3 linked regions of the Nothobranchius furzeri genome follow. The protein of the gene in region 1 purifies or fractionates together with the protein of each later gene. This does not show direct contact. Links are inferred from orthologs where the notes say so. Each region holds a gene or a part of one and is shown on either strand. Other genes may lie near its edges.

Evidence for each region.
Region 2: the proteins of ppp2r2aa (region 1) and serine/threonine-protein phosphatase 2A catalytic subunit beta isoform purify together in Homo sapiens (affinity purification with mass spectrometry; 8 studies listed by BioGRID and IntAct, counting the BioPlex papers as one, with this or other methods). This does not show direct contact. The link is inferred for Nothobranchius furzeri from reciprocal best matches to the Homo sapiens genes PPP2R2A and PPP2CB.
Region 3: the proteins of ppp2r2aa (region 1) and cdca4 purify together in Homo sapiens (affinity purification with mass spectrometry; 4 studies listed by BioGRID and IntAct, with this or other methods). This does not show direct contact. The link is inferred for Nothobranchius furzeri from reciprocal best matches to the Homo sapiens genes PPP2R2A and CDCA4.

What each region holds. Positions count from the first base shown.
Region 1 is NC_091757.1:37,248,606-37,252,255, forward strand, and holds part of ppp2r2aa (serine/threonine-protein phosphatase 2A 55 kDa regulatory subunit B alpha isoform), read right to left. Parts: intron 286-3,650; coding exon 6-285; 3' UTR 1-5. UniProt on the Homo sapiens protein: Substrate-recognition subunit of protein phosphatase 2A (PP2A) that plays a key role in cell cycle by controlling mitosis entry and exit. Involved in chromosome clustering during late mitosis by mediating dephosphorylation of MKI67.
Region 2 is NC_091750.1:36,847,440-36,851,843, reverse strand, and holds the start of serine/threonine-protein phosphatase 2A catalytic subunit beta isoform, read right to left. Parts: upstream 2,804-4,404; 5' UTR 2,514-2,803; coding exon 2,412-2,513; intron 1,308-2,411; coding exon 1,269-1,307; intron 1-1,268.
Region 3 is NC_091758.1:17,654,897-17,659,323, reverse strand, and holds the start of cdca4 (cell division cycle-associated protein 4), read left to right. Parts: upstream 1-1,485; 5' UTR 1,486-1,666; intron 1,667-4,427. UniProt on the Homo sapiens protein: May participate in the regulation of cell proliferation through the E2F/RB pathway. May be involved in molecular regulation of hematopoietic stem cells and progenitor cell lineage commitment and differentiation.

The sequences.
Region 1 (3,650 bases):
AACAACTAGTTCATCTTATTCTCAAAGATGTAAAGATTGTTGATGGTGGCCACAGCAATGATGTTGTCCAGAGGATGCCAAGCAGTGTGAAGGATCTTCTTGTTAAAGTCCAAACTGTCTACACTGATCTCGTCCTTTTTGCGTTTCCCACCTGTGCTTACTTTGCGAGGCTTCAGGACCGACTGTGGCTTGCTGTTTTCCCGCGAGGCCTCGAAGGTCATGTCCTGCCTGTAGCCTCTGTCGAACATTCTGAAGAAGTTGTTGTAGGAGCCCGTCATCACAACGCTGAGGAAAAGATACAAGTCTCTGAGCGTTAGTTTCAGTATTTGTTTTGAACCTAATCTGGAAAAATGTCTAAAAGCTTGTTTTTGTTACAGTTAAACAAAATGACATGCAGTCTAGTGATCTGCTCCGACACCAGCAGGAGACAAAGACAGGGTTGCTGAGTCAAGGGTGGTTTTCACCCTGTTGTTGACTTTCTAATATAGCAGATTACATCAACATTACTACAGCAGCGTAGAAGATAAATTCTGTTGACAGGACAAATGCAGATGTAACCCAGAAGCTAGAACCTTAATGAGGTATTAACTAATTGGCTTACTAATATGATCCATCCTCAATTTAGATAAAATATAAAATATAAATTAAGGAAATTAACAATACTAATTAATAGATATCTAATTAACTAATAGATAATTTCATAATGAATTATTGGAAGGGTGAATAACTAAAATAACGAGTTTAATATTAAACATCGGTTAAAACAAGAATCTTGAACATCACTAACAGAAACAGAAGAGGAAAGCTGTATACTATTGGTCCAGGTGGGAATCTGAAATTTCATTGGCTGAGAGAAATAAGTCCCGCCTCCGCGAAATAAAACCGTGCGACGCAGCTGAGCGAGAGGAGAGACAAACGGCTGTGCAGCACGCAGATACAGAAAGCAAAGACTGAGCGGTTAGAGAGAGAGAGAGAGAGAAAAAAAAACAACGGTCGAGGCCGTGAAGAACCCTGATTTGGGTGCCGCATAGATAGAGGGAGAGGCGGACTTGACTCCTTCTAATAAGAGCTAGGAACTTGGAACCAACGCGGTGAGTAAAGAAAAAAGAAGAGAAAAAGCTAACGATGCAACTTAAAAAAAAAAGGAAACTTAAATAGCTTATCAAATTAATTCCATTCTTATAGATTTGTGTGGAGACGACAGAGTGAACCAATCCTCTGTAGGAGGGAACCGTTGGAGCGCGTTGGTGAGTGAATGAGATTAAATTCAGTAAATTATTAAATTCAAAAAGCTAATTACAGCAACCGAGGTGACAGCAGTGGGCTGCTAGACGTTAGATCCCAGGAGTTAACATCTCAAACTACCAGTTAACGGTGGTAGGGCATATAGGAGTTAACGGCTCAAACCGCCAGTTAACGGCGGTAGGGCATATGGGATTCCCAGGAGTTAACGGCTCAAACCGCCAGTTAATGGTGGTACGGCCTAGATGTACAGGGTCCTCAGGGGCGTTATAGCTAACGCCATAGAATTAGCAATGCGTCCCTTAACCAAACATTTAATAATAAAAAAAATAGATAAATAAAAATAAATAAAAGCTAACTGATTAGGGAGGAATTATTTTACAAAGGTGGACCAAAGGACCAGAATTTATATTTTGTTTAATTTTGTTATAGAAAATTTTATTTATTTATTTATTTGTTTGTTTGTTTATTTATTTATTTATTTATTGTGTTACAGATATACAAGGTGTCACAATGCTGTATAGAAACACAACTAAATGTATCCTTGTTGTCATGAATGCATTTCTTGTCGAATAGTGTAGAGTAATAGAATCTAACTGAGCCTATTGAGCTGAACAATTGTTGTCATATGTAATTATATTTCCAGAGCTACTGAGAATTATTTTAATAGACAATCAAATTGATGTTATGTTAGTTGAACTGTGAACCCAAACATGATTGGCTATGCCAATAGAGTGAAGCATTTGTTTAAGTCTGTAAGACTTTATGCTGTGATGTGACGAGAAGGGTCGATGCCAACTTGCTAACAGTCCTGTTGTTTACAGGCTGGGTTTTTTTTTTCCTTGGGTTTGATCCCGACTCCTATGATCACTCACTTGGAACGAGAACTGGATTTCTTCCTGACGAGGGAGATGGCGAGCCTTAACCACTGAACGAACCAGGACATCTCAAGTAACTGAAGAGCAGACTGCTCTCTTCTGTGAACAATCTCAACGGTGCGGTAGGAAAAAATCGCACCACCGGACTCTGACTTTCACCCCAAGCGTGGGGATTTGACTTGACGCCGGCTGACTTGTGACTCATATGATCAAATCTCATACCGAGCATTTTACTGTTGTCGATTGTTTTCATCTGTTTTTGTGTGTTATCTTTATGCGTTATATTTCCCATTATTATTAAAATTTAGTATATAAACCGTTTCATGCTATACCCGTGACTCCAGTCATTCTTAAACAACCTCCAATTCTCCCCGAACCTAATTATTGGCCCATTTGTTTATTTTTTCTTTTAATTATCTTATTGTATCCTGTAATCCGGTTACATAAAACTTGGCGAGCCAGCCAGGAGAATTGTAGAGTTGTTACCTTAGCTAACCATTGACTGACATCATAAGAGTGCCTGGAGGTCACAGTGGTTTGCCATTTTGGCATTATTGGTACTTTTGAGTGTTTTAAAATGGAAGTTGTGAAAACAGAAAAGGTCAAAGTTTCAAATGCTGTTTTAATCAGTGGGTTAACTGATACAGACCTTGATAACGAAGTCTTTGGGTTTATGGAAGGATTCGGACCAGTTAACAGGCGCATTAAGTTACCAAACTGTGATCAGATTATTGTGGAGTTTCAACATGAAGCCACTGTTAAGGAATTAAAGAAACAATGTTTACCCTATGACAAACCTTGTACTAGGAACCCAGATGTTTTCTTCCATATTCAAGACCTAGCCAGCGCGTACAGTCTAGAAACTAGCACATCTGCCACTGATGCCTATCTGTCAGAGCTCAGGGACATAGCTGCGCGTAGCAATCAATCATTTAAAGACCTTCTAATGGAGGAACTGGCAAAAATTGGGGAATCTTTAGGAAGGGATACCCATGCATCTGAACCAGTCACTGAACCAGAGCTAATGCTCCATAGTGACCAAGTTACATATTCCCTGCCTTTAACACCAGAAGTTAACTATATGAACAACTCAAAGGACAATTGTCCACCTACAGAGACTGGAAAACAAAACCCTTGCATTCCACCAAATCTTTTAAACACACCTGAGGTTCAGCGAGTTATTGTGGAACACATTGTTAAAAGCAGTGAGGTTATCCCTCCGCCTACTTCACAATACAGACTAAAACCGTTCTCAGGGCGAGTTCCACACCCTTCTTTTGAAACTGACTATGATACTTGGCGTAGTAGTGTAGTGTTATGCATAAATGATCCTTCACTCACCAAGTCCCAAATTGTACGAAGAATCGTGGAGAGTCTGTCAGCCCCAGCAGCGAGCATCGTTAAAGCTCTTAGTCCAAAATCCGACCCGGAAACGTACCTTGAACATCTCGATTCAGCTTACGCAGCTGTCGAAGACGGCGACGAGCTCTTTGCTCGCTTCTTAAACACAAACCAGGACAGTGGTGAAAA
Region 2 (4,404 bases), on another chromosome or scaffold:
CGAGCCCCCGCACCGTGAGAACAAACATCTCAGCTCTAAAGCCGATCTTCATCCGCATACGTCACGTGATCAGGAAGCAGAACATCCACGTGTTAGGAGATCGTTTTGGGCCGCTGCTGTAAAAAAAGTGAGGCGTGAACCGGAAAAGCTTCTGACGATCACAATTCAACAACGTATTATTAAAGAACGGATAACGCTCGAAACACGCGGATTCTTCCTGATGTAAGAGGTGAGTCTCCGCTTTGTTTTGGTTGTTTTGGTGTCGACATCATCCTAGCGTGCAACATTCTGTCACTCTATAAAAAAAAGGAGTAAAAATGCTGGAAGTGAAGGGCTTTTCTGATCAGGAAATGGTTGGCAGTTAATGAATAAAAAAAAGTTAGTTTTTACCTTTTAGTCCAAATCAAAAGTAAACTTTTTTAAGTTAGCTTTTTTCATTTCTATGATATTTTTGTCACTTTTTTATTTATTTGCTTTTGATTATTTTTGTTCCTGAATTAAGTTTATATTTATCGCAAGTAATACCGTCATTGCAATATTAATCACCGTTATTGCATATCACAGGTTTTCCTAATATCGTGCAGCCCTAGAACATACAAATTTAAAGAGGCAGAACAAAAAACAATCCTGGTGACGCCGCCGTGTTGCTGTTGCAGCGCAGGAGGGTTGTGGACTTGAGTCTGGTTGTTTTTTTTTGGCAGCAGCAGATGAAATCGGTTCATGTTTCGGCTCACAGACCAACACCAGGAACGACGCTGCGCTTTATTAAATTGCTGTTTTGTCATATTTAGCAACACAAATCTTATCTGAAATGTTACATTAACTCCTGCCATAAATGGTGTGTGAGAGAGCAGCTTCCTTTAGTCACACGGCGTGCGGAGCTGTTCGGCTCATTATTAGGGCCAATTTATCAAGACAATACTGAAGTTTCACAACAAAAAATACATATTTATTCCGTACCAGTTCCTACTAAATATTTGGTCGGTACTAAAGAGGAACTGAGTTTGGGAAGCCAGCCCCTCTGGTTTGTTCTACTAAAAGTTTGAACATACAACCCAGAGACTCTGGTGTGACTGGAACACACAAGATGATAAAATAACACAAACTGACCCTGACCGTTTTAGAAACAAACGGAATAATCTCTTCAAATGGATTTCCATTTCCTCATAGATAACCCCCCCCCAACAGGAACAAAAACTGCAAATTAACTCGGATGTATGCAGTATTGAAGAAGGCGACTTATTAGGATTTTTTTGGGCCAAACTCACCTCTTGAACGTTGGACTCCTTAGTCAGAATCTCCTTTGCCTGAAAAGAACACAAAAATTTATTAAACTGGTCACATTTGTGTGTTTTTATTTACATAACCAAAAGTTTAAAAAGGACAGAATTATTGCATCATGGGTGAAAACATGCTGGAAGCCAGGCAAGACCCCAGTTCCTGTAGAATAACAAACAGGATGTATGGTGAAACCTGGTTTTTTGTTGTTGTTTATGTGCAAAAACATCAGAATAAAGAGCCTCTCTGCAGTGGTTCAGTTTTTGATTCTTTATATTTGGTAAGCTCACAATAATAACAAAATAATACAGGAAAAAAAGCTTTAATTATGAAAAGGAAACATAATTAAAGGCATCAAAATCGATTGATAGTTTAACTCTTTAGTTCAAAGTGTTGCTCAGCAAAACGACATAAATATACACAAAAGCTGTTTATTTACTTTAGTAATAAATAAAAATCATCTTTTGCAGCTCCATAAGTTTCCACGTTTATCTGGCCTGTTGAATCCTCAGCTGGTTCCTGATTTCAGCTGAAAAACCGCTAAAGTCACTCAATTATAATAATGTATGTTTAAAAAAATAACACGATGCAAAAAGTCATAAGAACTAATTTATTATGCGACAGCAAAAATGCGGACGCGTCTAATAACTGGGAGGTAGGATGGGTTTATGCAATAAACGATAAATCAATACAGACAGGGTGCGGTGCGAAACCCCGCACGTACGCAAACAAACCAATTCTAAAGACGCTGACTTAATACTGATTTTAACATAATATTTCGCATGGAACAAACCGAGGGAAACCACGTCAAATAAAAAAACGGGTGGATGGTAACGAGGGCTGCATCTATTTACTAGACATTTAAGGTGCGATTTTCGGCCTGTTGGTGCTCAAACTACGACTGTTGGTTAACCGTCATCACTGATAAAACTAGCCTCTGATCTTCAAACACCAAAAACAATACGAATAATTTCTCATTTCTAGTACTAATAAACAGGGATGACCTGCGGCTGACGGGTCAATAGGGAGATAAAAACCAAAATACACGTTACTTCCTTTCCAGAAATTAGTCGGGGCCGCTGAGAACCAGGCCGCTTATAAATTGAGGTCAGCGGAATCAAATGAGCGCTTACCTTCTCACAGAGGGTCCTCACTTGGTTTTCCGTTAGCTGCTTGCACTCGTTGAGCTGTTCGATCCATTGGTCTAATTCTTTAGTAAAAGATTTATCTTCCATTTCAGCTGTAATAAAAAACGGCGTCCGGTCCCTACGCGAACTGATTCAGCCTTTAGCTTGTCGTATTGTTAACCCGATCCAGTCCGGTTGAAAAATATTCGATTAGTCCTAAAAATAACGACCCTTTCAGACAACTTCTCTCATGATAAACCACCAATGTTAAGTTACCGACATTAAAACCAGTTTAAATGAGCCAGTGGAGTCGAAATCTTCGAAAGTCTCCGCTGCGGCAGATCGAAGCGGCGTCGCAGAGGCTAAAAGAGCTAGCTGCAACAACATCCGGGCACTTCAGCAGCGCGCAGACTCGGAACACCAGCGACACCACGCGGGGAAGTAACGAACTACAACAAGTTCATCGTCTTTTCCGGGATGCTGATCCTAGACCAGGGCTTGCTGCTCTAGGTACACATTATGTGGTTTATTTGTAACTCACTCACTCACTCACTCACTCACTCACTCACTCACTCATCTTTACCCACTTCAGTCACCAGGGGACAGACAGAGGACATCTGGACATGCCTCCAGTCCATCACAGGGACACATAAAGGCAAACAACCAGTCACACATTCAATTACATCTAGGGACAGTTTATTGTCTCCAGTTAACAGACCTTCTTTACACCTCCACTGGCACCCCACAAGGCTGTGTGTTGTCTCCTCTACTCTTCATTCTCCATACAGATGACTGTAGATCCATCCAGCCTGACAGTTATATGGTAAAATACGCTGATGACACTGTGCTCCTGTCGCTTCTGTCAGGCCCTACTGTTTAGCACGGGCAGGTCCTGCAGGAGTTTGTGGATTGGTGTGACACAGCAGGCCTGGAGCTGAATGTGACCAAAACTAAGGAGATGGTGTCCTTCTCAAACAAACAGAGAGCGCTGGTTACCGCTGCCTCCACTATCATTCATGGACAGCCAGTGGAGCTGGTTGAAGAGTATACATATCTAGGGACCACCTTTGATCACCTCCTGAAATTCGCTTCCAACACTGAGGACATCCTCAGAAAATGCCAGCAACGACTCTACCTCCTGAGGAAGTTGAATTCATTTGGAGACAGGAAGGACATTTTACTGACTTTCTATTATTCTTTTATAGAGAGTGTTATCACATTTTCCATCCCCTGTTGGTTTTATTCTGTCAGCCTGCAGTATAGAAACCGTCTACAAAGCACCGTCAAGGTGTGCTCTCAGATCATTGGACTACCACTGCAAAACTTAACTTCTCAATGTGACCAGCATACAGGAAGTTAGCATAGAAAATAATTAAAGACCCATTACACCCTCTTCATACTGTTTTCGAGTGGCTGCCCTCCAAACGCCAACTTCGATGTCCATGCTGTAAAACACAGAGGAGGAGTTCCTTTGTTCCCAGAGCTGTGCTTCTTCTTAATTCTTAGTGCCGATAGGAGTGTGCATAACTTGTATGTGTGCGTGCATATAGTTACATGTATGCATGTGTATTTGTGTGTGCATGTGTGTGTGTGTATGTGTGTGTGTGTGTGAGCCAAAGGTTTACATGAATTGTCTCAAATTGCCCCTCGGGGACTAATAAAGTTGTCTTGAGTCTTGAGTTTTTGGTCAGTGGGAGGCAATCCATGTATGCATGGGCAACACATTATGGGAACACACAGGCTGCAGACAGAATGAGAAACTGCAACTTTTTTTTGCCACAAAATAACATAAAATAATTCCATATATTTTAAACCACAATAAAAACATGTTTTTGTGTCCACTGTCTGTGACTGAAATTCATTAATCAAACTATACCCGGCAAACAGGGTGACTGTGAGAGGAAATGTTGCAGTTATACAGATTGTGTTTTCTGAATTTCAGTCCGGTTTCCTACATTGTTTGATTAAACTACTCTTCAGATTTCCATCAGTTTTATTA
Region 3 (4,427 bases), on another chromosome or scaffold:
AAACCTATAGCAGCCTGAGTGTAGAAGAGGGGGAGTGGCCAGCTCTAGCTTATTTTCATAAAGGGGCAGAGCCCTGAACAGTGTTGCCAACTAAATGAATCTATTGCTATATTTAGCAAGTTTTTAGACGTTTTTTAAAACGCAACTAGGGACAAATTTTGCAACTTTTGATGACTGACATTAAGCACACTACTTCTTCTCCTACTCTTCTCACCGAGCAGCGGTGCTGCTGTGAGCTCCTCTACCATACAAAAGCAATTACAGCAGACAATGAATCCTCTTGCTGCAGCATCACCCAGGCCGAGCTGCAGTCAGAGAAGACTGCTTATTTGGCAAGAAACAAAGTCAGCAGGAGTTTGCTTAGAATCCAAGAAGTGAAGAAAAGATGAGACAAAAAACATGCTGTTTAATCAAATGGGGAGTGTGTGAGAATGGGAGAAGAAGGCCTGAGCTGTGTTCTATGTTACTTTTTTGGATAATCACCACACCAAATCTGCCTTAATATATGTTTTACATATTAATGCAAACTAAGTGCTTTGAACACACCTGTCATGTATCCCGTTTAAGCCAGGAAACTCTAGTATTTTACCTGAGAACTTAGAATATTGAGCAAAAGTTCTTTCTATTCTAGGTTCAAAATGTCAGCTAATTTTTTCAGGTGTTTTGGTGATCCAAAACACCTGAAAGCTTTTAAATCGACTCTCAGTGTGTGTGTGTGTGTGTGTGTGTGCTTCTTATTTCAAACAATTGTAATGTCAACAAGACGAATGAAGGAAATCCAGAAACATGATCAAAACATGTAATCTAAAATGACTATTTGATTTTAATACATATGCACCTTTCACATGCCTATGTGCATAGCTATAAATGCATATGTATACCTACACACATCTTGTTTTGTTTTATTTTATTGATTTATATCTATTTGTATGTGGTTGACTGTTTTATTTGTTTTAGCAACATCAACCTGCCAGAGGACTGCAGATGGAAATTAGCCTAAGGCTATAGTCTGGCATATTTACAGTCATTTGACTGTTAGTATGCAATGTCCTCTTATAAATAAAGAATAAAAAAAACATCTATGTGCCTCATGGTGAAAATGTGCTGTCATAATGGTTTTATTAACATATTTAGAGACATTATTAATTAACAGATGAAATAGTCTATATCTATCTATCTATCTATCTATCTATCTATCTATCTATCTATCTATCTATCTATCTATCTATCTATCTATCTATCTATCTATCTATCTATCTATCTATCTATCTATCTATCTATCTATCTATCGGTAGTTATTAATGAGGTATAACAGGATCATAATTCACAATCAGAACGTCGAAACCCAGTCAAATCTTAAGTCTTGTATTTGTTTTCCGTCAGCCCCAAAACGAGCTTTAGCGTGTTTGTCCGAAAGCATTAGTGTTTGAGAAAAGCAGGGAGAAATCATTAGAGAGGAATCCTCAACTGGCTTTTGTCGGCTGGCTCCCCTCCCCCTCACTCCCTTCCTTCCCTCCTGCCGTCCGCCTCGCAGCAGCAGTAGAAGGAGTGAGGTACTTCAGTTTTTGAAGCCGTGGCATGAATGATCTCATCTGAACCAAATCTCCGCTTTCTCTGCCGTCAATCTTATGACGGGAAGAGGGGAATAAACTAAGGCAAACACAAGGTGAGTGCTGCTAGCTAGCTACTGGGCAGTGGTGTTTTAGGCAGGCGCCGCGGAGAGCGTTTGTGAATTTTCCGACTCTTAACAGCCCGGGCGCAGCGAAAACTCTTGTTTTTGGCCAGAAAGGAGGAAGGACCGTGGAGGATGGGTGGGTTTGCGATCACCACTTTTATGCTTGTTGTTACAGTTTTGGCGAGGAAGACGTTTTTAAAGTGGTCGAGACGTATATCAGTAATTTTATACCCCAGTGGGGTAATCCTTTTCCGTTTCCTTTAACATTTTAGGACAGTTAGCCAGCCGCAGTCTGTTAGCCTACCCGTTGCATAGCTAACCGGCTAGCTGCTCACGGCGCAAAATGGCCTCATTGTCACTTGGTAGACTACCGTACCGAACAAAGCATGCGGCAGTGACGGCCAACAGAGTCCCACTCACGGCACTCTAATTTGATTGTCTGTGATTCAAATGGTACACTGTAGACGGGGAACTATGTGATAAAGTAAACAGACTGTCCTAAAGTTCATTTATCGGTTTAGCACAGCGAGCTAAGCAAGTGCTAGCCTGAGTTAGCGGTGGGGGATGGGTACCAGCAGAACACATTGACGTAAAGCGAGGCAGCTGTAGCTCCAGTGCTGAGGTCCTCCAGCTTTCTAATCACTTAACCCTCTAACAACGCCATGGTTCCCTCTCCACAGCGACTTTAAACAGGCTCTTATTTTTACACTAATGTCCTGATCCCAAATCTTTGAAAAGTGTCCTCTTCTCCAGGTTTTAAACTAGTTGTAAATATATTTTGTTGTACATTTTACAATAGCGTTGAATGGTTTTGTTACCAAAATAAAACCCAATCAGGTTATTTCCATGCCATGTATTTTTACGACTGACTTGGGTTCGGGTTGCAGAGGTAAACAGTGGCTGTGTTAAAATCACAAACCAGAAGTGAAACTAAAGATCCACAAACTTCCAGCCTTTATTTATCCATATTTACTACAGTGCACTGTGTTTACCTTGAACTAGTTTGGGTGTTTAGACCCCGAAACTGTTGGAAGGATAGCAGTTGCTAACACTACTCAAATACCCTAAAATGGGGCTAAAATGATTAATCAGATAATTAAATAAACAGGAATGGCAAAGTTAATATATCTGAGTGTTGATGTCAGACCATGTGACTGCAGGTTGCTCAGTGATCACATGATTCTGTTCAGGTATTACAGGTTTATGATGCAAAACATCAAAAACTTTATACAAACAGCTGATTAAAACAAATTGTTACAGAAACAATTATTCTTTACATTGAGACCAACAGGTATAACTCGTCAGCCCCAACCATCAGGCCACCCCATACACTGATGTGTCACAAATGTCCTAGGGTCTTGTTCCTGGACAGGTCCGTTAGGTTTGGTTACTGTCTGATCCCTTTTTTATATCTAAATAAATATTCTGAGTAGCATTCATTAAATAGGCTGAATTAAAAACTTTATATTTATTGGCATCATAATAAATAGATGGTTAATATTTCTCTGCTATAGGTACCTACAGGTAATGCAGTGTATGTATTAAAAGCAGAGGGGACGCACAGTGACCAAAGGAAAATTATAGTAATGTTATTTTTTTATTGATACAATTAAATTAATTAACAATAGTTTTTTATGAGCGGACTTCCTAACAGAAACAGTCATTAATAATTAACATCACTTAATTTAACTGTAATCAAATTAGAAATCTAAATGTCAACAAAGAGCAGTGATATACCCTTATGTGGTAAACTATCGAGACATTTACTCAAACCCTTAAACACACAGTAGTAATGGCATTAGTAGTTTTACAACCTGCCCAGTTTTTTTCAAAGTGCAGAAAGCAATTACTGCAGTGATGCTGCTGTCATTTATCTAACCTTAAATCTCACACACACACACACACACACACACACACACACACACACACACACACACACACACACACACACACACACACACACACACACACACACACACACACACACACACACACACACAAGTGCATCTTCTCTGTGTAGCTGTACTCGTGTTTTTTCTTTTTAAATTGTGAAATTATTCAACCTTTAAAAGTTAGAGGTTTGTTCACAAAGTGAAGTCTAAACCGTTAACAGATGTTTTTGGAGCTGGCTCCTCCATCACATCGTCATGGTGGGTTTTTCCTGCTTCAGATAATTATTTACAGCTCAAACAAACTTAAAAATATAGACGTCTGGACAAACGACAGTAAAGTAAGAACAACTGTGAATCAAGAGTCAACACCTGGGGTGGGGGGGTGGGGGGTGTATTTTATTAAGTCATGTCCCATTTGTTTAAATGGAGGGAAACGTATGCTTCAGCCAGCCACTGGGGGGCGCATTAGTTCCTTGTGCCTTAAATTTCTCCCTCACATTTTTAGATCTAGCCCTTCTCTATCTACAGTGAGTCACAACTGAAGCCTGCTGTCAGGAGTTGGTCTCTGTCATGTGTGGTTGTTCCACCCAGCTGGAGTCGTGTCTCAGACTGGCCTAAAATGGGCAGAAACGGTGCAGAAGAACGTGAAGCCTAGCAGCTGGTACCTAGCTGCCACTGCCTGTTCCTCTGAGTAGGAAAGGTGCTCCTGATAAAAACTACAACACTCATTTAAACTTTGGAAAACATATAAATAGATACTTATAGCTAGTTAGATAATTGACTGTATTCTTTATTTCCTCATGAACCTCATCCACATTTCAGCCCATGTGTACAGTTTAATCACAGAAACTCAAAGTTTT